Linked DNA regions of Sus scrofa. The protein of the gene in region 1 binds, or shares a complex with, the protein of each later gene. Links are inferred from orthologs where the notes say so. Each region holds a gene or a part of one and is shown in the gene's direction. Other genes may lie near its edges.

Region 1 (4,132 bases):
CGGATCCTTAACCCACTGAGCAAGGGCAGGGATCGAACCCGCAACCTCATGGTTCTTAGTCGGATTCGTTAACCACTGAGCCACGACGGGAACTCCAGGAAATCTTTTTAGTAGTCATTTTATTCTTTTAGCGTCTGGTCTCTTTTTTTTTGGCCGTAGCATGTAGCAGCTCGATGTGGGATCTTAGTTCCCAGACCAGGAGTTGAACCTGGGCCACAGCAGTGAAAGCAGTAACCATCAGGGAACTCCCTAGAGTCTGATCTTAAAGAATCTGCATAACAGTATTATGTTGTGCTATGAGATTTATGTCTAGTTCTTAATCCTTATTTCATGTAAAGCTTAACAATGAGGTCATAAAGTCTAGCTTGGATATCTCAACTCTAAAGCAGAGAATTAGGAGTTTTCTTGTGACCAGTGAATTGAGGATCCAGTGTTGTCACTGCAGCAGGCTTGGGTTGTTGCTGTGGCATGGTTCACTCCCTGGCCTAGGAATTTCCACATGCCTCGGGCACAACCAAAAAATAAATAAATAAAAATAAAGCAGAGAATTAGATGTTAAATTCCCAAATGTCATCTTTTTTTTGTAACATTGTAAATTGAAATATCTGCTAAGATAGCCATACTATTTCTTTTCTTTCTTTTTTTTGTCTTTTTAGGGCTGCACCCACAGCATATGGAAGTTCCCAGGCTAGGGATCGAATCGGAGCTGCAGCCACAGCAGCACCCCATCCAAGCTGAATCTTGGAACTACATCACAGCTTGCAGCAAAGCCAGATCCTTAACTCACTGAGTGAGGCCATGGATCTAACCCACATCCTCATGGTTACTAGTTGGGTTTGTTTCCCCTGAGCCACATGTTCTTTTATGTGTATTTAATTTCTTTATGTGTAATTCCCTTACGAACTTTCTGCTCTTCCTTTTTCTGCCAAACGGATTAAAATGGTAGAAAGGAACTTCAGCATCATCAAGGCCATGACTGGTGTTATAAAATCGAGAAAGCTAATGCTGAGAAATTTTAAGAGAACTCTTTCAATAATGTCAGATTTGGGATATAGGTGAGAGATCTTTCTTTCGATTAGTAATGAGTTTAGTGTGTTATGTAGAACATAGTGTAAGGAGTTTTATACCCATTACTGCAGTTAACTAAACATTTTGATCTTGGGCGAATATCTTCAGTTCTCTGGCCTGTTAATACAGGATGAAAATTAGACCAAATAATTCTAAGATCTCTCTTGGTTCTAGAAGTCAGGCATTTTAACATAATATATGCATTTTACTGTTTGTCTTTTGCCTGTCAGGGAGAAGTTATACACTGGTTGGCATGTTCATTATATGTTGCATGCCGCAAAAGCATTATTCCCACGGTTGGAAAGGGTATCATGGAAGGAAATTGTGTTTCACTTACCAGAATACTACGTTCAGCTAAATTAAGGTAAAGCACTTTGACTTTTTAAATACTGCTTTATAAGTCCTAGATTTAATTTCTCTTTATTTTAAATTATTTAACTTCATTCCATTCTAAGCTTATCATATGGATATCTTTTCCCAGTTCTCATATTCTTCCTCGGCCTTTCTTCCTCATCCTCAAATTTATTTATTTATTTTGCTTTTTAGGGCCAGACCCGTGGCTAATGAAGGTTCCCAGGCTAGGGGTCAAATTGGAGTTACAGATGCCAGCCTATGCCACAGGAGGATTCGTTTCTGCTGCACCACAATGAAAACTCCTCTTCCTCAAATTCTAACTTCAGAGACCTCTCTTCTAAATCTTTTTTGGAGTTCCCGTCGTGGCTCAGTGGTTAACGAATCCGACTAGGAACCCTGAGGTTGTGGGTTGGATCCCTGGCCTTGCTCAGTGGGTTAAGGATCTGGTGTTGCTGTGAGCTGTGGTGTAGGTCGCAGACGCAGCTTGGATCTGGCATTTCTGTGGCTGGGTGTAGGCCAGCGGCTACAGCTCCAATTAGACCCCTAGCCTGGGAACCTCCATATGCCTCAGGAGTGGCCCCAGAAAAGACAAAAAAAATCTTTTTTATCTGTAATTCTTTCATTAATACTTTAAATTTGAGAATAATTTAAGCTTCCAGAAAAGTTGCAAAAATAAAACTACAAAGAATATCCATATATATATGCTTGACCGGGATTCACCTTTTATTGACATTTTACCTTACTTGCTAAATCATTTGATCTTTTTCTCTTAAATAGTATTTTTCCTCAACTATTTCAATTTAAGTAGTGTCTACTATAGCCTTTTATCCATAAATATTTCAGCGTGTGTTTCCTTAAATAACTATAGTACAGTTATCAACTTCAACAAAGTTAACATTGATGTAATAATATATAATCCACCATCTCTATTCCAGTTTTTTTAGTTGATCCAGTATCTTTTTTTTTTTTTGCTGCATCTGCAGTATATGGAAGTTTCTGGGCCAGGCATCAAATTTGAGCCACAGCAGTGACAAAGACAAATCCTTAACTACTGGGCTACCAGGGAATTCCTCCAATAATATTCTTTTTTTTTTTTTTTTTTTTTTTTTTGTCTTTTTGCCTTTTCTAGGGCTGCTCCTGCGGCATATGAAGGTTCGCAGGCTAGGGGTCTAATCAGAGCTGTAGCCGTCGGCCTACACCACAGCCACAACAACGTGGGATCTGAGCCACGTCTGCAACCTACACCACAGCTCACGGCAACACTGGATCTTTAACCCACTGAGCAAGGCCAGGGACCGAACCCGCAACCTCATGGTTCTTAGTCGGATTTGTTAACCACTGAGCAATGACGGGAACTCCCAGTAATATTCTTTTTCTTCCCCTTTGTTTGCTGTACCCGTGGTTTCCTGGGCCAGGAATCGAGTCCAAGCCACATCTGTGACCTGTGCCACAACTGCAGCCTGCCAGGGATCAAACTGGCAACACCACAGAGATAAACCAGATCATTAACCCACCTCCCTACAGCGAGAACTCCCAGTAACTTTTTTTTTTTTTTTTTTTTTTGCGTTTTAGGGCCTCACTCATGGCATATGGAAGTTCCCAGACTAGGGGTAGAATCAGAGCTGCAGCTGCCAGCCTATGCCACAACCACAGCAACTTAGGATCTGAGCTGCAGCTGCGACCTCCATTACAGCTCATGGCAATACCAGATCCTTAAGCCACTGAGTGATACCAGGGATCAAACCCTTGTCTTCATGGATACTAGTCAGGTTTGTTTCCACTGTGACACAACGGGAGCTCCTAGTAACATTCTTTATAGGATTTTTTTTTTTTTTTGCCTTTTGCCTTTTCTTGAGCCACTCCTGCGGCATATGGAGGTTCCCAGGCTATGTGTCTAATCAGAGCTGTAGCCGCCGGCCTATGCCAGAACCACAGCAATTCGAGATCCAAGCCAAATCTGCGACCCACACCACAGCTCACAGCAACGCCAGATCCTTAACCCACTGAGCAAGGCCAGGGATCGAACTGCGACCTCATGGTTCCTAGTCGGATTTGTTAACCACTGCACCATGACGGGAACTCCAGGATTTTTTTTTTTTTCCTTAAAAATTAAAAAAAAAAAAAAATTCCATTCTAGTATCAGGTAATGCATTCACTTACTGTGTCTCTTCAGTCTTCTTTAATGAGGAACATTTCCACAGCCTTTATCTTTTATGACGTTGATATTTTTGAGGAGTATAGTTCACAACCACCCTGCCCCCGCTTTTTAATAGATTGTTCCTCGCTTTGGATTTATTTCATGTTTCTTTATGCTTAGATGCAAGTTTTACATTCCCAGATGGAAAACTGCATAAGTGCTTTTGTGTCCTTAGTATTCATATCTTAGAGGTACATGATATCCTTCTACCTCTCATTGTTAATGAGATGTTCTACCTCTGATGTTAATTTTGATCATCTGCTGAAGATGTTATCCTGTTTCTCTAGTGTATGGTTAATATTTATCCCTTGCAAATAGTAAGCAATTGGTGGGTCTTAGCTATAGCTTTTACTTGCTCTAGTATTCTTATGGAACTATTTGAATACAAAACAGAAATGGAGAGATCTAAATTTGGAAAGTCACTAATGTTCAGCTTCCCAGAACAATTTTGGTTTCTACAAATTGAAAAATAATTAAGTGTAAACAATTTTCCAAACTTTAGGAGTTTCTGTG
Region 2 (4,132 bases), on another chromosome or scaffold:
TTTGGTATCTTAACAATGTTTAGAGCTAAAAGGGATGTTTTATGTATGTAGTTTCACATCTTTATAGGACTCATCAGGAAACAGGCCCAGAAAGGTAAAATCTTATGGCAAAGCTGAGCCAGTTTCCTGACTGTTGAGCAGATATTAGGTGTATATCCTTAGACAGCTGTTCCCTGTAAGAATTTCATGTCTCTTGAAAGAAGATCATCTGGGTTTGTCAGAAGCTACCTGCTTTCTCCCATAGTTTTTTTTTGTGTTTTTTTTTTTTTTTTTTCTTTTTAAGGTCGTCGTACCTGCAGCATATGGAAGTTCCTGGGCTAGGGGTTGAATTGGAGCTGCAGCTCAGGCCTATATCACAGGGACAGCAATGCCAGATCTGAATCTGTGACCTACACCACAGCTTACAACAATGCAGGATCCTTAACCCACTCAGTAAGGTCAGGGATCGAACCTGCATCCTAATGGACACTGTGTTGAGTTCTTAACCTGCTGAGCCACAGTGGGAACTCCCTCTCCTGTAGTTTTATCCCCGAGCAGCAGATGTTTATAATGAGACAAACTATATCTTTTATACTATGTTTCAGGCTATGTGCCGAACAATTTTCTAATAGTATCTCAGTTAATCCTGTTTCAAAAAACCTTAGGAGGTAGGTAGAATGAAATTCAGAAGTTAAGAAATTTGTCCAAGGTCAGTTAGTAAGAAAGAGATGAAGCTGATATTTGCTGAAAGTGTCTTGACAGGGGTTAAAAATTTTTATGGGAGAAGAAGAAAAAGTAATGGTGAGATAAACTTGGAGGATGGTGGGGTATTATTGGAGGTATATTTTGTTTTTTTTTTTTCTTTGCTTTGCTTTTTAGGGCTGCACCCTCAGCATATGGAGGTTCCCAGGCTAGGGGTCTAATCAGAGCTGTTGCCACCAGCCTACACCACAGCCACAGCAACGCAGAATCAGAGCCACGTCTGCAACCTACATCATAGCTCTCGGCAATGCTGGATCCTTAACCCACTGAGCGAGGTCAGGGATTGAACCCGCAACCTCATGGTTACTAGTCAGATTCGCTTCCACTGCGCCACCCCAGGAACTCCTATTGGAGGTATATTTTGATGCTGGTAAGATGAGGATCTGGCAGTCAGTACACTGTGTTCTCTGAAGACTGCACCCCTTGTGCTTCAGAAAGTGCCATTTACATGGGCTGTAATGTAAGTAGTGTGTCCTCTAGCTTCACCCTCAGATCTACAAAGTATTCTGAGGAAGGTGAACCGGGCTTGAGCACACTAGCAATTTTCTATTTTTGAAGTTTTGCACACCTGTAATTTTTGTTGAAAAGTAAATTCTAAGGTGGAAAATGGCAGAGAAGGTGAGGCATGATTATAAGGACTTTATATCCCATAGCAAAGAGTTTGGATTTTATCCTATGATTTATGGGCATCACTGCAGTGTTTTAAGAGGGTTTGATTGCTAATCTTAGGATTAAGTATATTGCAGTATTAGGAGCCAAAAGTGGTAAAGCTAGAATCCACTCTAGCCTTAAAGCACTTTCCACTTTTTCCTACCCCTGCTTCTAATCTGTTGGCTACAACAATAAATATTTCACAGTTGTATGTAAGTTAAGATCCAGTGGATAAATTGTATCATTTGGAAAATGGACTCCGTGATGCCAGTTTTAGTTCCTCAAAGGTTCTGAGCTGTGTTCTAAATAGGCAGACAACTGTATTTCTTATTAGTAGATTATTATATTGTGAGTTCTAAATATTCTCATAGAAAGGAACACTTAAGATCATTTATTAACAAAATAGTAAAACATGTTTTTTTCAGTTACACTGTTGTACATAACTTACAGCTGTTTATGGTTTCTGTAGATTCCTATTTGGTAAGATACAATGTGTGGAAAATTTCTTGTCCTGTTTTGTAACTTGTGAATATCTGTTGAATGGCTTTTTCTTGAATGCCTACTACGTGTTAAAACTTTTCTAAGAGTTGGGGAGGCAGTGGTGAACAAAACAAATATTTGTGCTTTCATGGAGCTTAATTTCTATAGGGTAGAATGTAAATGTGGTATTGTTGATCCTTTCCTAAAAGGAATGGAGAAGTAATTTGGAAATATTATCAGTTTAATATTTTTGTAGGGTTCTGACAATTTTAGAAATTGTCTTTAAACTCTTTTCCCTTTTTAGTTTTTCAACACATGTCCTGGAAATGAACAAATTAATATAGAAAATCCTTCATTCACATCAACTCCTATTTGTGGGCAGAAAGTTCTCATTACAATGCCTCTTCATAAAGAAACAACCCCCAAAGATCAAAAGGAAAATGTAGGGTAAGTAGATATTAAATAGTCGTGTTAGAGAAAATGGGAAGCATAATTTCAAGAAATACAATTTCTTGTCCATATGAGACTTAGAATTTTTAACATATCATAACCTTAAATTTTATCCCCAGGAGACCAAAACCCAGCTAAATGTAGTGTAAAACTTTGACCACTTTTTTAGTACTTTTTTTCCTACATTAGTCTTTTTTCTATTTTAGGATGATTGATTGGAATAAGTATTAGTTTAGGCAGGCATACTTTAAAATAGTCTTGGAATGTTTATATAAAGATTGTGTATATGCAAGAAAAATTTGGTGTATGCCTTTTTGCCTTCCTTAACTCATCTGAAATCAAATTTTAATGATAACACAAATATCTGAATGATTGCATAGGTTTAGAACACCTACTATTAGAAGATCTATATTGGGAACCACACCAAGAACTCCTACTCCTTTTAAGAATGCACTTGCTGCTCAGGAGAAAAAATATGGACCTCTTAAAATTGTGGTAAGTATGCTCCTTTTATTTATTAGAATTTTCCTATATTTAATAAAATATACATTTTGATTTTTATCTTTAGTTCTTAGTGTTTTTAAAAAGATGTTCACTGAACTGGATTTAGAAAATTTTATCTCTTGATTTCTGAGTTTTAATTTGTGTCAGTCTTTTCCTTGCAAATAAACCTTTGCTTGTTTTGAATTCCTACTTAACCTGTTGTGTGATATACACACTTCTTGAACCCTGTGTCCCAGCTCTGAACTTAAGGCTAGGTGTGCAGAGATGTATACACAAAAAGATGTAATCACTGCTCTTATGTAGATCATGCATTTAGTGGTAAGAGAAATGTGTCAGCTGGTAATTACACACTATATAATAATAGAATAAGGAGAGCTAGTGTAGTCCCAATTTGTTCTATATGTCCTACTTTTATATAAAAATACTTGGGGAAAGAGTCTCTTTTCTGTGTAATTCTGAGGCTCCTGATTGAAGCAGGAGATATAGTAGTTTCCCCAAAGGAAGATTTTTGTTTAGTGCCCTAAATGTGAAGAAATTACCATACTTCATTCAGTGCTTCCAATGAGCAATATTATTTTTGCCATAGAATGAATTAGTTAATATATTCAGTTTATGTATCTATAGGGACTGGGAGAAAATTATGGCAAGAATGAAAAAGTATAAAAGATGGGTTTCTATATATGGGGAGAAAAAGGAATTGCTATAAAAGACTTTTTTTAAAACCCTTTTAAAAATACTTTAGTCACAGCCACTTGCCTTCTTGGAAGAAGATATTCGGGAAGTTTTAAAAGAAGAAACTGGAACAGACATATTCCTCAAAGAGGAAGATGAACCTGCTTATAAAAGCTGCAAACAAGAGGTAATCTTTTAGTAGTATTGTTAATGAAAGCCTTATCCTGTTCAAGTGACCTTGCCATAATGTTCCTTCTGTAAATTATTCATTCTAGCATACTGCTTCTGTAAAGAAAGTGAGAAAGTCACTAGTCTTAGATAATTGGGAAAAAGAAGAACCAGGTACTCAACTATTAACTGAAGACATTTCAGACGTTCAGGTTTGTAAGGAATTTTTCTTTTATTAAGACAGTTGCTTTAAGTACTGGTGCTTCTTCTGTTTTACTCATTGTGTGGTTAGTTCATTAGAGATTCATAGAAGGTTCCTTTTAGTATTAATTATTCTGCCTAATTCAGAGAGAAACTGCTAACTGTAGAGAATATTTTATTTACGTCCTTGCTTTTTATATTTGTTTTGTTTTGAGAGGAGTTAGCTCTCTTATGAATGATGTCAAAAAATGGTAGTTCTTTTTTT
Region 3 (4,132 bases), on another chromosome or scaffold:
GAAAAAAAGTTGAAACGGAAAATCCTGGGGCACTCATCACCAGAAAAAAAAATAAGAATTGAGAATGGAATTGAAATGACAAATAGCATATCTCAAGAAAGGACCAGTGATTGTGTTGCATCTGAGGGAATGAAGAACTTAAATTTTGAACAACACTTTGAAATAGAAAATGAAGGCATGCCATCATTAATAGCAGAGTCAAACCAGTGTGTTCAAGAATTGACTAAGGAAAAATCTGATAGTCCAGCTGAAGAAACTGTAAATATTCCACTAAAAGAAGAAGAGGATGCAATGCCTCTGATTGGGCCTGAAACCTTGGTTTGCCATGAAGTAGATTTGGATGATTTGGATGAAAAAGATAAGACCAGCATTGAGGACGTAGCAGTGGAAAGCTCTGAGTCTAACTCTCTTGTTTCTGTTCCGCCTGCCCTACCTCCTGTAGTACAGCATAACTTCTCAGTAGCTTCACCACTTACTCTCAGCCAAGATGAGTCTCGAAGTATAAAAAGTGAGAGTGACGTAACCATTGAAGTTGATAGTATTGCTGAAGAATCTCAAGAAGGTCTCTGTGAGAGGGAATCAGCCAATGGATTTGAAACCAGTGTTGCCTCTGGTACCTGTAGTATAATTGTTCAAGAAAGAGAGAGCAGGGAGAAGGGTAAGGACTTCCTAGGGAGAAAATCAGCCTTTATATTAAATTCAAAAATTAGTAAGCTAAGTGTTTTAGGAATTGTTGATCTGCTAAGTACTTTTCCTTCCTTCTACCCTCTCTCCCTCCCTCTCTTTCTTCCTCCCCTTCCCTCCCTCCCTCCCCGCTTTTTCAAAACATATACATGGAAATTCATGTCAAGCAGACAGGCGAATGAATATACTTGCTCTTGATTTTTTTTTCCCCCCTAATTCTCTCTTTCCTTTTATTTCAGGTCAGAAAAGACCAAGCGATGGAACTAGTGGATTGCTGGCAAAAAAGCAGAAGCGAACCCCAAAGCGAACAAATGCTGTAGCCAAAAATGAAAAGAATGGAGCAGGTTGGTGCTTTTCAGTATTGGCTTTAATATGGTATTAGTATTTTCAACAGTTTGTTGGCTTGGTCTTTAAAAAAATTTGTTTTTTATATTCTGAAAATAGCCATTTTTCCATTAGTTTTTAATCTGAAGGTGCTGGTCGCTTTTCTTTAGAGCTGGGATAGTTGCAGTTATTTTTTATAGCAGTTATTTTTAAAGCAGTTTAATATTAGAGGAATGTATTTAGGAATCTTGAATAAAAGAAAAATAACATTTGCTGTGGTAGTAAAAACATTAAGTTTATATTTCTGGATGGAATATTTTCCTTTAATCCAGAAAAACTAATTTCTAAATAATGTCACACTAACTTTAAAATATGGAAAAATTGGAGTTCCCATCATGGCACAGTGGAAATGAATCCAACTAGGAATCATGAGGTTGCGGGTTCGATCCCTGGCCTTGCTCAGTGGGTTAAGGATCCAGCATTGCCGTGAGCTATGGTGCAGGGTTGCAGACGTGGCTTGAATCCCAAGTTAGTGTGGCTGTGGTGTAGGCTGGCAGCTGTAGCCTGGGAACCTCCATATGCCATGAATGTCCCCCTGAAAAAGAAAAAAAAATAAAATAAAATATGGAAAAATAAAGAAGATTCTTACTGAAACAAACAAGAAAATTAGTAAATCAATACAAATAGATTACATGAAAAACAGATTTCTATACTATAAAGAATATAATTATGTTGTAGAATATAGTAGAAATAAACATGGTTGATTTTGACAAAGTAAAATTTTACTTCCAAAACATGCCTTCATATAAGTCTGAAAGGGAAATTCTAGATTATAGAAGATAAATATTCTAAGGAAGGAGCATATGATTTATTTAAGATAAAAAGCATTTCAAAGAAAAACCTTGGAGCCATATTTCAAGTCCTCAGCGGCCAGATATGGCTAGGGGCTGGACAGTCCAGGTCAACAGTATAGAAAAAGAGTGAAAAGAGAGATGAGACAGAAAGACAGCAAGACTTGCAAAGGGAAAATAAATAACTTTACAGTGGATGAGCCAGGCGGACACCATCTGAGTCAAATGAAGTGAACACCACCAGTAAGGGACAGAGCGAAATCGTGTACCACCTGACAGGATGCAACAAGAAGAACATAGTTGCACATCTGTAATATTCCTGTCAAAGATGCATAACCTGACTGTAATCATGAGGAACCAGCAACAAATTCAAACTGAAGGATATTCCATAAAATAACTTGACAAAATAAAATTGTCAAGGCCATGAAAGTTAAAGAAAGAGGAACTGTTCCAGACTGAAGGAGATTTATGAGGCATGATAACTAAATGCAGTAGTAATTCTCACCTGGATCCTGTTGCTCTAAAGGCATCAGGTCAAGTAGAGAAACTTATATGGAATCTGAGGAGTAGATGATGGTAATATGTCTGTTTTAATTTTCTGACTTTGACAGTTGTATTATAGTTCTTTAGGAATGTGGTGGTTTTAAAAACATATCCACAAATGTATTGATACTCTTTCCTTCAAGAGGCAAAGCCTAATTCCTTCCTCTTGAGTGTGGGCTGAATTTAGGGACTCATTTCTAACTAATAAAATAAAGCGGACGTGATGGAGTATGACTTCAGAGAATAGGTCATAAAAGGCACTGCAGATTCTTCTCTGCTCTCTGTTGGATCCCCTTGCTCTGGGGGAACTTAGCTGCCATATTGTGAGGACACTCAAGCAGTCCATGGAGAGGCCCACATGGTAAGCAGCTGAGCATGTCATGCCAGCAGGCAGCATGGATCTGAAGCCTCCTGACATGCACTAATGCCATCTGAGTGAGCCGTCCTGGAAGCATATCCTTCAGCTCCAGTCAAGCCTTCAGAGACCAGAGCCTTGGCTTAAAGCATGACTGCAACTTCACAAGAGTCCCTGAGCCAGACCACACAGCCATGCTATGCCCAGATTCCGACCCTCAGAAACTGTGTGCGATATTAGACATTTGTAGTTTTGAACTGCTAAGGTTTGGGCTAATGTCTAGATAACTAACACAAGGAGAATGTTCTTATTTGTAAGAAATAAACATTATAAATACCCAAATGTGGCGGGCAACTTACCCTCAAATGACAAGAAAACATTCTTTGGTGACTGTTCATCTTTTTTGTAAGTTTGAAGATTGTCTCAAAATAGCAAGTTGAAAAGATTAAAAAGGAAAAAAGAAAGGAGATGACTAGTTTCGTTTTCTGGAAAGAATCGTTGGCTTAACTAAGGCAGTAAAAGAAGGAATGAATTAAAGAGAATTGGGACATAAAATCACTAGGACTGAATTATTAGTTAGATTATGAGAAATTAGTTAACTGACACATGGCACACAGGAGAAGCAGCAGGTTGTTAGAAGAGTAGTTTAGGGAATGTTAAACATTTAGAGCTACCCAGTATTGGGAAAATAAGAGTCTGGAGCTTAGAAGAAAGTAAGAAGATAGTTTTTTCGAAGATAGTTGTCAACGGATTTACAAGATGATAAAGCTGCTGTGGGAGATTTGTAAAACGAGAAGAAAAAGGAACAAGTAGAATTATGTGGCATATCCCTTTAATTGGGCCAGGAAGAGTGGAGTAGAAGCTAATTAGAGATAAATGAAAATCAGTAAACAATAGTTGGTTTGAATAAGAAAGGCATTTCAAATGCAGTGGAATATTCAAGTAGGATTAAAATATACTCATTGAATTTGGTGAACAGAAAGTATCAGGGGCCCTAACAAGAGCAAGGAGACAAATGATTAGAAGACATGAAATCAGGATAACAAAGAATTTTTCTTTCGGGAAATTTGACCCTAAAGAGAAGGAAAGAGCCAGGTTGAAGGGGGTGGTTCACCTCTCCTTTCCTCCCCCTTTCCAGTGGGAAAGCTTGATTAAGCATGTTCATAGATTCTGGGAAAATAAGAAAAGGCAGAATGACATTGGGATATTCCAGAGGAGCTGGGAGTAAATGGTGTCAAGAGTACAGTTGAAGAAGGTCGTTTGCCCAGAATTACCAGTCTCTTTTTGAGGCCAAAAAGGGTGATAAGGACAAAGACGGCAGGGGAGGAGCTGGGAAACTGGTGTATAACTCTCAACTTGGCCTTTTTAGTATGAG
Region 4 (4,132 bases), on another chromosome or scaffold:
ACAAATGGGGAGTGGTATTTCTTTTTTACTCTCAAAATAACATATGTGTTTTTACTGCTTTCTTCACTTGAAAAATCTTTGCTGTCAAGGGAACATAGTATCGAACAATGAATCATAAATACATAAGAACTGTTACTTATCCCTGTTTATATCCCCCCCCATGCCAACCCCCTCCCAATGGCACTAGGACCACAAAGCTAGGCAAAATATAGGGGCGTCTCTGAGATGCTTTTTCTAGAAGAGAGCAGAAGTATTCAAACATACAATTCATTTCCCCAGTTTTACAGGTTCAGCATATTTTTTCTCCATATTAAGTGAAGGAAGTATTGAATATGAAATAGTCTTAGTTCATTAGCAGCAGAAAATAACACATAGGACCCAAGTAATGTTTGGTAATGAATGGTATCGACAGTGATGGTTTTGGGTAGTGACTTTTGGACACACTTTTAGGCCTAGAATATACTGGTGTCCCTTCTGTTTCGTGCATTTTCAAAAAGTAAATGTTTACTTTCCAGGGAGATAGCACCCAGCCATTTAAAAATAATAATTGTAACCAAACTTCAGTAAGGCCCAGAACCTAAAATAAACCACCTTAGAATAAGGCTATTGAAATGTAGAAAATAAACTCATCACTGCTGGGGGAGAAGATGGAGCAAGCCGAAGAAAGATTCCAACTTTAGTTTTTAAAACTAGTATCCGTTCTATGAGCAGATCAAAGACTTCAGTTGCCTAAGGTTTTTGTAACTGTGGGTTCTGCCTTATTTAAAAAGCGGTAGTAGGGACCAGGTCATGGAGATGTAGTTCCCTCGTCCCCTGAGACCTCGCCCTGGAAATGACCTTGCATCTTCTTTTGGTCTGACAGTGGGCCCCAGGGACTGGGGGCTCGCACCCTGCAGGCTGGCCCTACATCTGCCCTCTGCAGAGGGTCCAGGGGGAATTCACTGCCTACCCTTCCTGCCTTGTGGACAGTAGCTCCTCTTAAGCTAACTGGGCCATAGTTTCATGTTGATGGCAGAGCCATAGAGAGAAAGAAATTTCTGTGTGCAAGTCCATTTTCAAGCCTGTGCATTATTTCTGCCAACATCCCATTGGCCAAAGCAAATTACAAATCAAATGGTAGGGATGTAGGAGCAAAGAGAGAACTGTGACTTTTTTTGCCATCTATTACAATGATTACATTGAAATGTCGTTTTGTGCCAGAGGAAGCTATGGCCTCAAAATCCTGACAATGGTCTTGTAGGCAGACGGTGAACTGCCCCAGACAAGCATTCCACACAGTTGCTTGGGGGAGCAGTTCCAAATGATCTGCGACTACAGTGGCATCGTTAGAAGGAAGGGTCTGGCCTCTGAGGTGACTTTTGGGGCGGACAGTGCCCTCTTGGATGAAGGTTTTAGATGAGGGTTTCATCATGTGCTGGTTGGGTGGAACCAAGTCTGCCTTGAAAGTTTTACCTTGTGGTCCCCAAATGGAAAACAGTGGGGGGGCTGTGGTAGGAATTCCTTTTGTGGCTCAGGGGGTTAAGAACCTGACTAGTACCCATGAGGGTGCAGGTTCACTTCTTGGCCCTACTTAGTGGATTAAGGATCCTGCATTGCCACAACTTGCATGTAAGTCGAAGATGCAGCTCAGGTTTGATGTGGCTGGGGCATACGCTGGCAGCTGCAGCTCTGATTCGACCCCTAGCCTGGGAACTTCCATATGCTGCGGGTGCAGCCCTAGTAAGAAAAAGGGGAGGCGGGGGTCACTTTCTATGCCTTATGAGTAATGGTTATAACTAAAAGTAGCGAGATTCAGTGTAAAGATTCAGGCCTTGGTATATCTTAGAATCAGTTTCCTCATCTGGAAGATGTCAGGTGGGCAGAGGTTGGGCCAGGTTCCAGACTCTGCCCTCAGGATGCTTAGAAGTTCTGTGAAGGATCTCAGGTGAGGGCAGACCTGTTGGGGCTTAGGGCTCAGGACTCAGTCCCATGCATCCAGCCAGAGCAATGCTGCTTTCATCTGTTATATAAATAGTGGCTGTCCCAGAAGATGTCATTTGAAGAAAGGGTTCTGTGGCTTTATAAAATTTGCATATTTCTGGGCTAGACAATCTAAGAAGTGTATTTCATGCTAAGCTCTCAGGAGTCTGTGTTAGATAAATGAAAACAAGTCCACTTGGTGTCACTTTCTCTGTATTACTCACTCTATGAGTTGTGGGTGCACTGGCTTCTCCCAGATCTGTAAGATCCTGCTTTAGTGGGTGGTGGAAGCCATGGGCCCTATTATTTACATTAGGATACGTTAGACACCATTTAAGAGTATATTTTTCCCTTGAAATTTATTGAGTTGGATCGTTCTAATCTTTCTTCTTAAATATTTAATTTTAATTAACCCAGAGGTGAAAGGCCTCTTTAAATGCTCTCATTTTAAACTATATTTTAAGCGTATTCATCATAATCCATTTAGTTCCACCTCCTTTATCCACATGAAATGACTAAATGTATGTTTTTATTGATCATCACAGCAAATTGCTTTCAAAAACCTGGTACAGAGAAATCGGCAAAATGAACAGCAGAACCAGGGCCCTCCAGCTCTGAACTCCACCATCCAGCTGCCGTTTATAATCATCAACACAAGCAGAAAAACAGTCATAGATTGCAGCATCTCCAGTGACAAGTAAGTGGGGAACGAGCAGCAGAGTGCAGGGCTCACCTTCTAACGTTATGCCGAACAATTGCAAAATTAAGAGGGTTGTGCTCCAAGGCTGACTTCCTCAAGGCATATGAAACGGCTTTGCAGACATGGGGTGCCGTCACCTGCTAGTGCTTGCTCTGTCATTCACCCTCCGCAACCCCCTCTCTTGGGCCTGGCCCTGTGCTGCCTTTGTCATATGCATGGTGGTGCCCATGTATGTACATGTAGGTGGTGTAACTCTGGGCAGGTAAAGTAGAGCATCACTCAGGTAGGTTCGCTGGTGATTCACTGTCGTAGTTGATGCTGAGAATGGTTTAGATCAATGCTGCACTAAAGCAGTTGTTTTCCTTTGCTGTGTCAGAGTTGAGTGTGCTTCTCTTTATGATGAACGAACAGATGTGAAAATGCTAGATGTGTTCTCTGCTTTCTTTCTTATTTATCTCATCCTGTGAAGTCTGTACCTTTTGACCATCTTCATTCATTTCACTCACCCCCCATGTCTGGCAGGTTACCAGTCTGTTCTCTGCATCTGTGAGTTTGGTTTTGTTTTTTTTGTTTGTTTGTTTGTTTGTTTTTTTTGGTCTTTTCTAGGGCCACTCCCGTGGCACATGGAGGTTCCCAGGCTAGGGGTCTAATCGGAGCTGTAGCTGCCAGCCTATGCCAGAGCCACAGCAACGCGGGATCCGAGCCACGTCTGCAACCTACACCACAGCTCACGGCAACGCCAGATCTTTTAACCCACTGAGCAAAGGCAGGGATCGAACCCACAACCTCATGGTTCCTAGTCGGATTCGTTAACCACTGCGCCACGATGGGAACTCCTGAGTTTGGTTTTGGTTTTAGTTTTTGTTTTTTTAAGATTCCACTTATGAGATCGTACACTATTTGTTTTTCTCTTTTTGTCTCACTTAGCGTAATACTCTCAAGGGGCATCCATGTTGTTGCAAATGGCAGGATTTCCTTCTTTTTTTATGGCTGAATGACCCATTGTGTGTATACCCCACATTTTCTTTATCCATTCATCTGATGGTGGACACAGATTGTTTCCATGCCTCGGCTGTTGGAAATGATGCTGTAGGCAGTAAACATGGGAATGCAGGTTATCTGCTCAGGATTGTGATTTCCTTCAGATACATACCCAGAGGTGGGATTGCTGGGTCATTTTAATTTTTTGAGGAACCTCCATACTGTTTTCCCGAGCAGTTGGACCAGTTTACATTCCCACCAGTATGATTTTCATTTTAACTAAGATTGCTGCTACTGTTTATCATACTAGGTAAGCAGTAGCAGTTTTCAAATTACAGAATTTGTAATTTATTTTACTCTTCATGAAGACAGTAGTGGTCTTCAGGCTGTGACCATTATCGAGTTAGTTCAGGGCATAGGGTGCGGAGTGAGACAGATCCAAGTATGGATTGTGGCTCCCCCATTTAACTGCTCCAAGCTGTTTTCCTAAGA
Region 5 (4,608 bases), on another chromosome or scaffold:
CCTCACTAGAACCTGATTATTCTGGCACCCTGATCTTGAACTTCCTGCCTCCAGAACTGTGAGAAAATAAAATTTCTGTTGTTTAACGGACACTGTCTATGGTATTTTCGTTACACTAGCCCAAGCAAAGACACAGACAAACACACGTTTTTAGGGAGTTCCCATTATGGCTCAGCAGGTTAGGAACCCAACTAGTATCCATGAGGATGAGGGTTAGATCCCTGGCATTGCTTAGCAGGTTAAAGGGTCTGGCGCTGCTGTGAGCTGTGGCATAGGTCACAGTCCAAGCTTGGATCCAGTGTTGCTGTGTCATAGGCTGGCAGCTGCAGCTCCAATTAGACCCCTAGCTTGGGAACTTCCATATGCCCCTGGTGAAGAGGAGAAAAAAAAAAAAAAAGTCTATCTGGTTATTCATAAAGTTCTGTCCTATGAATTGGAAACAAATATTAAACTTAAATGGTGTGTCCAATTTTACTCTCTAATGTTACTGTTTTACTTCATTCCAGTGACCCTTTTTTGCTAGTTTACTGTTATTTTAAATTAGAAATATGTCTTGCATGAGACTTTCTTGATGAATTATCATCATATGGAATTTTCATTCCCCTAATATTTATTGGGCATCTACTATATTAAAAGTGTTGCGTGTGATACCAATTTATTTAGAATTTCTCCCAACCCTCAAGAGTGTGTAATCGAATGAGAAAAAAACTTTTACTCAGATCTGCGTTATCTCATTTCTCATTTTGATAGTTTGGGCTATCAAAAAACATAAAAATCTTACGACTGCCTAATATTCTAAATAATACTACATAGCTTGGTTGCAATACGGTATTAAGAACAATTTTAAATGAAGGAAATCTGGAGTCCAGTGGCGAGTCTTTGGGCGAGTCACAGCCTCTCCCTCTACACCTCAGTACCTCTACCTATACTGCTCCATTATTCTGCTTTTCCCATATCCCGAATCTAAAAAGATGATCGGAATAAAACCTTGCACTTGATCAGAGGCATTGAAATACTTGCAAAGGATTCTAAAGTTGGAAAGGACCAAGACAGCAGAAATCCCCAATGAAGGTATTCAGCGGACGGCTAGTCCCGTGAGGTTGTAGAGATCCAGCAGGTCAGAAATCGATGGCCACCAAGCAGAGTGTTTTCGTTTCATTTTTTTCCTCCAAGCGTTGTAGCGGGAGGTCGCTGGTCCTGGGGGTGGCACTCCAACAGCAGAGAGGCGAGCTGAAACCCACTCCTCGACGCTCCCTTCTGCTCTCCCCTCCTTCCTACAGAAAAATGCGTTTCCAAGCAACGGCGGGCCGCGGCGTCACTTCCTGCCATTTAAACTCAGGTCCCCACCCCTCGCCGCCCCTTCTCCTCGCTTCCACTCCCCCTCCCCTCAGTCGTGGGCTTCCTTCTTGGGTCCAGGGCTCGGGGAGGGGGCGGAGGCCCGGCAAGCCGAGCGGCCCAGAGGCCGGTGGGCCCCGCGCACCTGTTGTTTGCAAGCGCCCGCAACCCTTCGTCCCGCCCTCGGCCGGCGGCGGCTGCAGGGGCGGCGATAGAGGTGGCCCGGAGCAGACCCGGCAGGTGGCCGAGCGCGAGGTCCGCACCACTGCGGTGCGGGGACGCGATGGCGGCGGCCGAGCCCGCAAGCTCTGGGCAGCCGGCACCGGAGGGCCAAGGGCAGGGCCAGCGGCCGCAGCCGCCGCCGTCCCAGGCGCAGCCCCCACCCCCGCAGCAGCCACTCGGGGGCGGCGGGGGCGGCAGCAGCAGGCACGAGAAGAGCCTGGGGCTGCTTACCACCAAGTTCGTGTCGCTGCTGCAGGAGGCCAAGGACGGCGTCCTGGATCTCAAAGCGGTGAGCGTAGGAGGCGGGGAGGGGGCGGACTTCAGATCCTGCGGCCGGGGGAGAAGCCCATCCCCTTGCCGCGTGGGTCGGGGGACGTGGTGTGAACGCTCCGCGCGGGGATCTCACGACCTGAGCGCAGTGGCCACGTGGCCTGCGCCCAGGCCCTGGACTTCGGGATGGGGGGGAGGGACGAGGGACCAGGATGGCCCGGACCAGCCGCTTAACCAATGGGGCCCGGCGCCGCGCCGGGCTCTCGACAAAGAGCCCAGGAGCTCCAGCGCGCGCGCGTGGCTTCTGTCTCGGGGCGCGGAGACCCGAGGACGACTGAGTGCCCTTGCTGCTCCGCGTCCACCTGTGGCAGAGGCACAGAGGGTATCTGGGCGCTTTGCCCAGGACACCGTCGGGATTGATTTTTTCCTGTTGGGCATTGTTGGTTTTAATAGGCGATTCTAGCTTAGACCGTGATCAAGTTGTTTAAACAAGCCAGCAAATAAGCAAACAAAACCCAGTTTTGCCACCTCTCCTGGATGAAACAAAATAAAGTGAACTCTTCATAGCCCTCCCTGTTAAAATAATGGTAGTAATTAAAAGAAAAAACTTCTTCCTTGTATATTTCTTTTTATCATTTTGGTGACTAAGAGGGGTATTTGATTTGTGACTTAGAAGGATCTGATATAGATTTCTAAAAATGAGATTTGCCGTCACACGGAAAGGGGATGTTTTATAACTTTGATGCAAGGAGAAGCGCTCAGCAAACTCCTATTTCATGAGATCTTTTACTGCAGTTGAGTTCGGAATTTTCAAACCACAACATACATCAAAAGCCGTTCCGTTAAATAAAATGACCTAACCGTTCCAGTCAGGGTTTGGAAGGATTCCATAGCGCTGAGAAACAAGAGATGTGATCCCTTGAATTAAAATTCAACCAGCGCACCATGTTTAAGTAAAAACTAAAGCTTTAAAAACAAACAAAAATTACTAATGAATCAGTAATTACTGTAGACGCCTCCTAGGCACTACCCCTAAATCTGGGGTTAACACTGAGAATTGGTCCCAGCACCTATGGAAGTGCCAGGACCACCGTACCTAGCTTGAGAGGATGACTGCAATCCTCAAGGCTATGCTTAGGGTAACAGAAGCACCGTCTGAGTAGGACAGCATCTTCTAGTACTCCTTGACCTGAGACTAAGACTCACAGAGGCCAATTTGATGTCCTTTGCTAGAGGTTCTCATCTGAGGACAGTCTGGGAGGTGAGGTATGTCTTTGAATGTCCTCTCCTTTCCCTGGGTGTAGTAAGTGTTGCGTAAATGACTCCTGAATTACCGAAATTGTTCTACTTCATACAAATAAGGCACGATGCACATATTTTGCATTTGGGGAAAAGTTTCTACTATTTTTTTTGAAGTATTACTCCTGAAATTTTCCTGCACTTTTAGAAATACTTGTTTTCTTTTTTTCCCCACTCCCTCTCCTTCCCTCTCTCCCTTAAAGTGCTTTATGACATGTATGTATTTAAATTGTGAACTAAAATGGATTTTTGTTTAAAGAATTTCATAGGAAGTCATGAGGTCATCTTTGAAAGACAGGGATGTTTCCAAACCTACCTTGCAAACTACTATTTGAAAATCTAGGGAGTTCCCATCGTAGATCAGGGGTTAGGAGATCCGACTAGTTTCCATGAGGTCAAGGGTTGGATCCCTGGCCTTGCTCAGTGGATTAATTAGGTTAAGGATCCAGTGTTGATGTGAGCTGTGGTGTAGGTGGCAGATGCAGCTTGGATCCCATGTTGCTGTGGCTCTGGGGTAGGCCGGTGGCTGCAGTTCCTATTTGTACCCCTAACCTGGGAACCTCCATATGCTGCAGATGCATAAAAGATAAAAAGACCAAAAAAAAAAAAAAAAAAGGCTAAAATTCAGGGAGTTCCCTTGTGGTTCAGTGGGTTCAAGATCTGGTGTTGTTGCTGCTGAGGCTTGGGTCACTGCTGTAGCGTGGGTTTGACCCCTGCCCCGGGAACTTCTACATGCTATGGGTGCAACCAAAAAAAAAAAAAAAAAAAGCCTGTGACTCCAATAAAGAATCAGGGAAGTTTGGGGTTTTCCAGATGCAACTGAATTCTGAGGGGCTGACTTTTGAGAGCTTTTCTCACAGCTTGCCTTGGAATATGATGGAAATTTGTCCTTGCTTTCCCCTAAATCTTTGGCTTCCTCCTGTTTCATCTGTGGCCAGATTTTGCTGTCCAGAAGTTTACAGAGGCAGTGAGTGGGAAGTAAAGTTTAATATTTCCTGATAACATTGTTTCATTCATCCTGGAATTTTCCTAAAAGTTCAGAGGTTTCTGCAGTAATATTAGGTCTCATTGTATTAATGATTTTTTTACTTCAGTCCAGTAAATGAGACCAGTTTTTCATTCTTTTTCACATATATACAAATATATATTTCATTTATTTACATATGTTTGTACATAATAAAATCTTATATTGCAAAAATCTTATACTGAAATCTTTCCAATGATGTTTTCTTATTGTGCACCATAGTAAAAGACCATTAAGACTTTTGACAATACATGTTGAAGATGGACGGACTGATCATTGTAAAGTTTCTCTAATTTGAAATGATAAAATCACATTTTTTCTTAAATTCTTACTTAGGGGTGGTGTATTTCAGCCTAAGTTATTGATACTTTTGAGTTACACACTTGATACTTTTTAAGAAGAGGTTAATGAAACATTTTTATGGATATCAGGAATATAAAAAATTATATTAGTCATCA
Region 6 (3,778 bases), on another chromosome or scaffold:
TGAATCTTTCCCAGGCGTGGTTTTCTCTGGACAGATGCTCAGGAGTGGAACTGCAGGTCATATGCCCAGTCTGTTTTTAGTTTTTTGAGGCCCCTCCGTACTGTTCTTCGCAGTGGCTGCACCAGTTTGCATTCCTGCCGGCACGTGGGAGGGCTCCCTTTCCGCCCCGCCCGCTCCCGCGTTTCTTGCGGGTAGACTTCGATGACGGCCCTTCTGGCTGGTGTGAGGTGACCCTCCTGGTAGTTTCGATTGGCATTTTTCTCGAATCATCAGTGATGGGAGCACCTTCGTGTGTTTTTGGGCATCCGTGGGTCTCCCTTGGAGAAATGTCTGTTTAGATCTTCGGCCCATTTTTGATCGTGTTTTTTGACGTTGGGCTACAGGAGGTGTTTGTATGTTTTAGAGATTAATTACTTCTCAGTTGCTTCGTTTGTGGATGTCTTCTGCCATTCCGTGGGATGTCTTTTCGCTTCGTTTATGGTGAGAAGAACATTCATAATGTTAGGTACTTGGAGGCGCTGCCTGCAGATCCTGTGGGGGCCACGGGCCTGGGTCCCGAGGGCAGGGGCTTAGCTGCGCGACCACACCCCAGTTTCCCACTGAGCGAGCTCTGGCAGGCGCAAGAGACTGCGTTTCCCGAGCATTTCTGTCCTGTCGTCTTTAACCAGGCTCACTGCGGACTAAGTCCCATCTGAGGAAGCAGTGATGTTTTTGTTTGTCTTTTAGGGCCGCACCTGCAGCATATGGAAGTTCCCAGGCTAGGGGTCCAATCGGAGCTGCAGCTGCCAGCCTCCACCACAGCCATAGCCACCCCAGATCTGGAACCTTGTCTGCGACCCTCACCACAGCTCAGGGCAACACTGGATCCTTAACCCACTGAGCGAGGCCAGGGATCAAACCTGCGTCCTCTTGGTTACCAGTCAGATTTGTTTCCACTGAGCCACGATGGGAACTCCTGGAAGCAGTGATGTTTAACCAGGCTCACTGCTGACTGACCAAGTCCCACCCGAGGAAGCAGGGAAGGCCTCATGCTGGTGGCAGGGAGGGTGCCCAGATGGCCCCGTGTCTGGAATCTGGACGGCCTCTGCCGAGTTTTACCCCTCGGTCGGCGCCCCTCAGCACCTGGCGTTTCTCGTTAGCATCCTTTTCCTTGCTGTGAGATACTGAGACGGGTGCCTGGCCCTGTGCCGTCAGAGCACGGGGAGGAAATGGCCCCAGTCCCCTCCAGCACGGTGGGCGCGGGCTGTGACTGCCCACGACAGACCCTTCCTCTTGGACCTGTGCTGGCTTGCTGGTGGCCACCGAAGCCGGGGGTCTCGGACCAGGACCCCGGCTCCTAAAACCTTCTCCGTTCTCAGCCGGGGTCTTGCCCAAGGGCCCTTGGCCTAGATGGTAGCACCCCCGCAGCTGGCTGCGACAACCTAAGATGATCACTGGTCCCAGATGAGGCTGCCACCAGCGCCCGTGGTCCCCGCCCAGGGCCAGCCCCGCCGGGCATCAGGCAGCACACTCCATGGAGCTGCGAGGACTGGGGTCCCTTGGAGCCCTTCCTGGAGGGGCAGGAGGCAGAGCATCTGACAGAGACCCTCCCATCCCGCTCGGCCCCCTGGGCTCAGTCGTTTCCACATGCTGGCACGTGGGCGTGTACACACAGGCTCAGGGGCACACGCTGCCCCCCGGGGCCCTTTCCTGCCCCCCGTCCCAGGGCTGGGGCTTGGCAAGGTCACAGACAGAGGCCTGGAAGGAGGACCTCAGGTCTCTGGGTTTGTGCACCGGGTTGGCTCTGATGTGCAATGAGCGGGGACAGGACCAAATCCTGGGGCCGAGGCTGCCCTGGTTTTGGTTGTGGCGCATCGAAGGGGCCGAGAAGGGGTGAAGCCGGCCACGGAGTCCTGGCTTCTGTGACGTCCCGTCTCTGTTGGCCTCCTTGACCAAACCCAAACCTCCCCGAAATGCTGGTGTCTGTGCTGCAGACGCTGACGCCTCCTGTCCTTGCAGCGACCTGGCCAACGGCGCGGATGGGACGCTGGCCACGAGCTCCAGCGGGTCACAGTACAGTGGCTCCAGGGTGGAGACGCCCGTGTCGTACGTCGGGGAGGATGACGAGGACGAGGACGACTTCAACGAGAACGAGGAGGAGGACTGAGCCGTGCCGCGGCGGGCGCCGCAGGCGCGTCTGGGGAAGAGGAGCTTTGCCTCGGCTGTTTCTGTCCTTCTGCTCCCCCAGCGGCCCGGGAGCTGCGGGTCCTGCGGCGCCGTCTCCGTGGGGTCCTGGCGAGCCGTCGCGGCCTCGCCCACCCCTTGAGAGTCTGTGTTTTCCTTTGCTGTTTTTAATTCAGAGTTGATTTCGCCCCTTGCTGAGTTTGCTGAGGAGCTAGTGCTCGTTGACGTCGACCAGGCCGAGACCCTCCTGCCCGGCCGGCCCGACGCAGCGCCCGGGCTGCGGGCCGCGCCGACGGCCAAGCTCTGGCCCTTGACGTTTGATTGCGACTTCGTTTCCCTTAAATTATATTGACTGTGTGACCCCGTCAGGTTTATACTTTGTTTTCACTCTGTGTTGCAGCGGTTTGCAGAGTTCTTTGTTTTTGTTTTGTTTTGTTTTGTTTTGTTTGGAAAAAAGTTTACTGCCATGCTGGTGCAGCTATAGAAACTGAAAGCTTGGAATGGTTTATTGCTTATGGTAAAATTTGCCTGATTTCTTACAGGCAGCATTTGGAAACTTTTTATTATATAGTTGTTTACATACTTATAAGTCTATCATTTAAAGACATGTACTGAAACAAATGTTGTATTTGTTTCGTAAGCATCTTCCTGTAATCTATTATAAAGTTGAAATTAAATATAGAGAATGTTTTAACAGTTTTTTAACTCGAAATTTGTCAATCATTTTTAATAGTTCTTTTTTTATAAAAAGAAAAAGGAATTTCAGGACAGGCAGTAGTCTCTTTTAAAATTTATTCACCAAGAACCATTAACTGCACAGTTGCTGTTAGCTGCCTGTTCTAAAATAATAGTCTTTTTATTGGAACACAAATAAACTTTTCTGTAATATTTTGTGGAATAAAGAGACTTTAATTGTTTGACTTGTTTAACTTGGCACTGTTAGTTTTTATTAATAAAACGCGCATGGGAATTTGAAACATGCTGTGTGTCCTGACTCAGGGTTACTGTCTAGAGCTCACTTGATCCGCTGGACGGGGGAGAGGTTCCAGGCCCCTCGGCCACCACAGCCCCTCTGCGGCCTGCGGCTCGTCCTGCTGCTGCCTGGGCGAGGCTGAGGAAGGAGGGCCTGGACACGCCAGCGGCGGGAGCCTTTGCTCCTTGCTTGTTTTTAGAAGAACAGCACTGACCGCTTTAACGTTTTAGTCCCCATAAACTGCGAGCTTCGCAAACGGGTCCCCTAAAAGCACCACGGGGAAGGTGGCCCTGGAGGCCCTCGCAGGTGATGCACCTGCGGTGTAAACCAGGCCAGGCCGCTGGGCCTTTCTGCTGGATCCCGAAAGTGGAGACATTCTTTGGGTTTGATTTTCGGAAAGGGGGAGGTTGTAAGGCGAGCTGGGGGTCAGTGTTTTCTTCAGGCACGCGGGTCAGTGGGTGAATGTTTCGGGGAACGGCTGGAGGCTGCAGCAGGCGGGTGTCCCCCAGCACGTGGCAGCGCTCCCCTTCTTCCGGGTGGGGTCCCGGGGGCTGTGGGGGTGGGGGAGGGCACAGCTGCACCTGCTTCCGCGGGTTCCCTGATCTCTCCACTGCGTCTGCTGGGTGGGTCCTGCCAAAATCA
Region 7 (4,132 bases), on another chromosome or scaffold:
TACATTATTTAATCTTCACAAAACCGTATGAGCTATAGGTACTATTATTATCCCTATTTTACAGAGAAGGAAATAGACATAAAGAGGTTAAGTAGGTTACTCAAGATTATAGGCTACAAATGGCAAAACCAGGCTTTGAACCTCTTAGTCTACTTACTAGCGTCTATGCTCATTATACCATATTTAGAGGCATTTGTACCTAAAGTTAAAAGCACTGACTGGCAGAGAAACTTTTTTTTGTTGTTGTCTTTTTGCCATTTCTTGGGCCGCTCCCATGGCATATAGGGGTTCCCAGGCTAGGGGTCCAATCAGAGCTGTAGCCGCCGGCCTCCGCCAGAGCCACGGCAACGAGGGATCCGAGCTGCGTCTGTGACCTATAGCACAGCTCAGGGCAACGCTGGATCCTTAACCCACTGAGCAAGGCCAGGGATGGAACCTGCAACCTCATGGTTCCTAGTCGGATTTGTTAACCACTGAGCCACGACGGGAACTCCTCAAATAATTTCTTTCATGGCTCTACTTACCTATTTTTCGTACACTAGTAACAGTATTCAGACCTAAATCTTTCAAGATCATTACTTTAAAACCAGCTTTTAAAGATCAGTAGTATTATTTTGTAAGGGTTCTATTTGTAGGTCAGAGCTGAATCTGGAGAAATCTGGTTCTTTGAAATTATAACTTGCTGGTATTTTCAAACAACCTGAGGACTGTGTGACAACCTCCTTTTCTTACAAGAAAGAAGAGTAGAGAGTTTCCGTCGTGGTGCAGTGGAAATGAATCCGACTATTATCCGTGAAAATGCAGGTTCAATCCCTGGCCTTGCTCATTGGATTAAGGATCCGGTGTTGCCACGAGCTGTGATGTAGGTTGGATCCTGTGTTGCTCTGGTGTAGGCTGGCAGCTGTAGCTCTGATCTGACCCCTAGCCTGGGACTTCCACATACCAGGGTACGGCCCTAAAAAGCAAAAAAAAAAAAAAGAAGGAAAAGTAGGATCTCTATACATTGCACATGTCTGAATAGATGTATTCTTATTTTCTGACAGCCCATTACTAGCTCCCCACCCAAATGGATGGCTGAAATAGAACGCGATGACATTGACATGTTGAAAGGTAAGCAAAGCTGGTGACCTCTAACCTTCAACCTGACTTTTATGCTCCTGTGCAAACCACCTTTCCAGTTTTTCTTTCACGATTCCCTTACAAGTATTTTTGGCTTCAAATTGCCTATTTAACCATCCTTATTCATGGTTCTTCATATCTAAATGCCTTTCTCTACTTTTCCATGTGTAGAAATAATTCAAGACCCAACCATACTGATTTTTTCTGCTGCTAAATTCCTTTAATGTTAATTTTATTTTGTATAATACTTAGCGTTGGAGTTCCCATCTTGGCTCAGTGGAAACAAATCCAACTAGGAACCATGAAGTTGTGGGTTCGATCCCCAGCCTCGCTCAGTGTGTTAAGGATCTGGCATTGCTGTGAGCTGTGGTGTAGATCACAGATTCATATCGGATCCTGCGTTGCTGTGGCAGAGGCCTGCAGCTGCAGCTCCGATTCAACCCTAGCCTGGGAACCTCCATATGCCTCGAGTGTGGCCCTAAAAAGAAAAAAAAAAAGAAAAAATTAACGTTAACTATAAGCTCTCACATAAAATTTCTTATTTAATTCTCATAAAGACCCTGTGAGTTAGATATGATGTCTAAGGTTCAGAAGTTAACCAAGCTTTATTATAGAAAGAGTTAAAATTTAAACTCTGAACTTTTTTTTTTTTTGGTCTCTTTGTGTTTTCCAGGGCCGCACCAGCAGCATATGGAAGTTCCCAGGCTAGGGGTCTAATCAGAGCTGTAGCCGCCGGCCTCCGCCAGAGCCACAGCAGTGCCAGATCTGAGCCGCGTCTGCAGCCTATACCACAGCTTACGGCAACGCCGGATCCTTAACGCTCTGAGTGAGGCCAGGGTAGAACCTGCAACCTCATGGTTCCTAGTCGGATTCGTTAACCACTGAACCACGATGGGAACTCCTAAACTCGGATCTTTTAAAGCTAGTCTCTTACTGTTATAATGCAAGTGCCTTATTTAGGATTTGCTGTCATATATTGTTATGAGTACTATTAATTGACAACCCCTTAGTGGGTTAAGACCTGTCTTTTAGTTCTTTCTATCTCATCAATTTCTCCCATAGAGAATACTGTAAGTAGTGAATATCATTGTTTGATAAATGGCTTGGGACTAAATCACAAAGTAGAAATTTAAATTAAAAAACATTAATTTTCCTTGATTTTGCTCTACTTTACTTAATTTTTTTTATCATCCTCGTAGTGATAAGATTCATGATGGTTGTGAAGTAATAGAATGAAATTGAGGTAAAAAATCTGGGGTTCTTAAGCTATTTAAGCAGCTGAACAGATTCACAAAGTCTACTTATGCCAGATATAGATAATAAGTATGGCATGATGAGTGAGAGAAAATAACACCTTTATTTGACTTCAGAAATAATTCATTGTTCTGCATGAAATGCTTAAAAGCAGAGCCCTTCCTCCATCTGGAAAAATTAAGTCTCAAGGGCATCTTGGGTTCATTGTTCTAATGTTCCAAACAGACATTTATATAATATTCCATCAACATGTATTTTCTAAGGAAGCTTTAAAGTTTGATAAGGGATCAGAGCATTCTGTTTCATGCAAGTTCATGTATGTCCTAAACTTAAAAGGAATTAAGTTCTGTTTAAATGAAAATCTGGGAAGATAAAATTTTAAGTTTACTGTCTTTTTATCTGGTAAAATTAAAAATTTTTTTATGGGAATTTGATTTGAAGGTAAAATTTGGATTAATATTTAGCCTGTTTTCTAAACCTGGAGAAATAGGAAAGAATAAGTGTTTTATTGTCACTTGGAGTAATGTGGACTTATAAATGACAGCTGAGATAGTGTCCTTTTTGTGAGACAGAGATCTGTCTGTTTGCTGTCTCAATGCTATGTCAGATCACAAGTTTTCAAATTTTAACCATATATTCATTTTGTATGATACGCAAAATGAATGTTACAAAAAGATCCTCAGGATAAAACATGTAATTTGTTGTTGTGTTTACGTTAATTCTCTTCTCATTAAGTGGGTAAGCTTATCTGAGGCATTTTGCAGTGGTGGAAAAATTCACTGATTTGATTTGTGCGTTTTTGTGTGTGTGCACGTCTGTGCTGGGGGTAGTGGTGATGTGATTTGTTGAGAAGAGATATGGATCCATTTTCTACTTATTTCATAGGAATTAAGCTTGAAATTTTTATAACAAGGATTTGCAACCCGCATGCGTTGTTACTAGAAGCAGTGGAAAGAAATGGTATTGAAATAAATGATTCTGTTTCAGAACTGGGGAGCCTCACCACAGCTAATTTGATGGAGAAGGTACGAGGCCTTCAGAACCTAGCCTATCAGTTGGGGCTGGATGAGTGTGAGTACCCAGATCCATTTATTCAGGGTTGCATGTTGTATATTTAATGATGAGCTCTGGTGTAATTCAGAAAGTAACTTTAGTATCTTTATTAGATGTTCTCAAGGTAAGAAGCCACTATAATCTAAAGTGTGCCTTTTATAGTAGAGTGTCAAAGTAATTACAGAGTTTACTAGATTACAAGTTATTGTTCTTTGTATAGTGAAAGCATATTGGTAACTCTTAGTTTTAAGCGATAGAATGTCAAATCAAACAATCTTAAGCAAAAGAAGGATTTTATTCACATAAATCAAAATTCTAGGGGTAGAAATAGCTTTGAGTATATCTAGATTCATGACTCTTAGTGAAGTCTTTGGAATATGCCCTCATTCTTAGTTTTAGTTTGCTATCTTAAAGCTCTGCTTCACTCATGCATTAATATTATTCTTTGATCTAGCACCAGGGAAGGTAACCAGCAGGAACACCAGCTCTTATGTCTTTAAATCTCATAATCCTAAAAGAAAGAACATCTTTTCTGCACATGGCAAAGAAAGGTCTTGGGGAGGACCCTGACTGTTCCATCTTGACTCACATACCTATCTTGGAACCAGTCCTTTAGCCAAGCAGCATGGAGCACTGGGATGGGCCAGGCCTGGGGCCTGGGTGTGGATGCAGATTGGAATGGTTATTCAGACTCAAATCACATGGA

Evidence for each region.
Region 2: RBL1 (region 1) and MYBL1 share a complex: the UniProt entries of both Homo sapiens proteins name them as parts of the DREAM complex. The link is inferred for Sus scrofa from reciprocal best matches to the Homo sapiens genes RBL1 and MYBL1.
Region 3: the proteins of RBL1 (region 1) and ARID4A are in contact, whole or in part, in a crystal structure (PDB 7SMC), measured with the Homo sapiens proteins. The link is inferred for Sus scrofa from reciprocal best matches to the Homo sapiens genes RBL1 and ARID4A. Residues at the interface, in NP_002886.2 of Homo sapiens: Tyr849, Ile850, Lys853, Val854, Thr860, Phe861, Gln862, Met865, Lys866, Arg869, Tyr879, Arg880, Asp929, Leu930, Ile931, Tyr934, Asn935, Val939, Ala946, Leu947; in NP_002883.3 of Homo sapiens: Leu957, Val958, Cys959, His960, Glu961, Val962, Asp963, Leu964, Asp965, Asp966, Leu967.
Region 4: RBL1 (region 1) and TFDP2 share a complex: the UniProt entries of both Homo sapiens proteins name them as parts of the DREAM complex. The link is inferred for Sus scrofa from reciprocal best matches to the Homo sapiens genes RBL1 and TFDP2.
Region 5: the proteins of RBL1 (region 1) and E2F5 are in contact, whole or in part, in a crystal structure (PDB 5TUV), measured with the Homo sapiens proteins. The link is inferred for Sus scrofa from reciprocal best matches to the Homo sapiens genes RBL1 and E2F5. Residues at the interface, in NP_002886.2 of Homo sapiens: Ser1000, Ala1001, Leu1002, Leu1003, Tyr1004, Lys1005, Phe1006, Asn1007, Ile1017, Met1020, Ile1021, Gly1024, Glu1025; in NP_001942.2 of Homo sapiens: Met162, Ile190, Ala192, Pro193, Ser194, Gly195, Thr196, Gln197, Leu198, Glu199, Val200, Pro201, Ile202, Pro203, Glu204, Met205, Tyr213, Leu217.
Region 6: the proteins of RBL1 (region 1) and TFDP1 are in contact, whole or in part, in a crystal structure (PDB 5TUV), measured with the Homo sapiens proteins. The link is inferred for Sus scrofa from reciprocal best matches to the Homo sapiens genes RBL1 and TFDP1. Residues at the interface, in NP_002886.2 of Homo sapiens: Tyr1004, Phe1006, Asn1007, Ser1011, Leu1014, Ile1017, Asn1018, Ile1021; in NP_009042.1 of Homo sapiens: Pro260, Phe261, Ile262, Thr290, Phe291, Glu292, Ile293, His294, Asp295, Ile297, Glu298.
Region 7: RBL1 (region 1) and LIN52 share a complex: the UniProt entries of both Homo sapiens proteins name them as parts of the DREAM complex. The link is inferred for Sus scrofa from reciprocal best matches to the Homo sapiens genes RBL1 and LIN52.

What each region holds. Positions count from the first base shown.
Region 1 is NC_010459.5:40,272,292-40,276,423, reverse strand, and holds part of RBL1 (retinoblastoma-like protein 1), read left to right. Parts: intron 1-1,298; coding exon 1,299-1,432; intron 1,433-4,132. UniProt on the Homo sapiens protein: Key regulator of entry into cell division. Directly involved in heterochromatin formation by maintaining overall chromatin structure and, in particular, that of constitutive heterochromatin by stabilizing histone methylation.
Region 2 is NC_010446.5:68,150,881-68,155,012, forward strand, and holds part of MYBL1 (myb-related protein A), read left to right. Parts: intron 1-2,176; coding exon 2,177-2,319; intron 2,320-2,702; coding exon 2,703-2,817; intron 2,818-3,568; coding exon 3,569-3,685; intron 3,686-3,773; coding exon 3,774-3,878; intron 3,879-4,132. UniProt on the Homo sapiens protein: Transcription factor that specifically recognizes the sequence 5'-YAAC[GT]G-3'.
Region 3 is NC_010443.5:187,440,455-187,444,586, forward strand, and holds part of ARID4A (AT-rich interactive domain-containing protein 4A), read left to right. Parts: coding exon 1-658; intron 659-923; coding exon 924-1,028; intron 1,029-4,132.
Region 4 is NC_010455.5:82,766,534-82,770,665, reverse strand, and holds part of TFDP2 (transcription factor Dp-2), read left to right. Parts: intron 1-2,504; coding exon 2,505-2,656; intron 2,657-4,132. UniProt on the Homo sapiens protein: Can stimulate E2F-dependent transcription.
Region 5 is NC_010446.5:51,509,530-51,514,137, reverse strand, and holds the start of E2F5 (transcription factor E2F5), read left to right. Parts: upstream 1-1,520; 5' UTR 1,521-1,618; coding exon 1,619-1,846; intron 1,847-4,608.
Region 6 is NC_010453.5:78,775,173-78,778,950, forward strand, and holds the end of TFDP1 (transcription factor Dp-1), read left to right. Parts: intron 1-1,998; coding exon 1,999-2,146; 3' UTR 2,147-3,140; downstream 3,141-3,778. UniProt on the Homo sapiens protein: Can stimulate E2F-dependent transcription.
Region 7 is NC_010449.5:97,391,768-97,395,899, forward strand, and holds part of LIN52 (protein lin-52 homolog), read left to right. Parts: intron 1-1,043; coding exon 1,044-1,110; intron 1,111-3,360; coding exon 3,361-3,444; intron 3,445-4,132.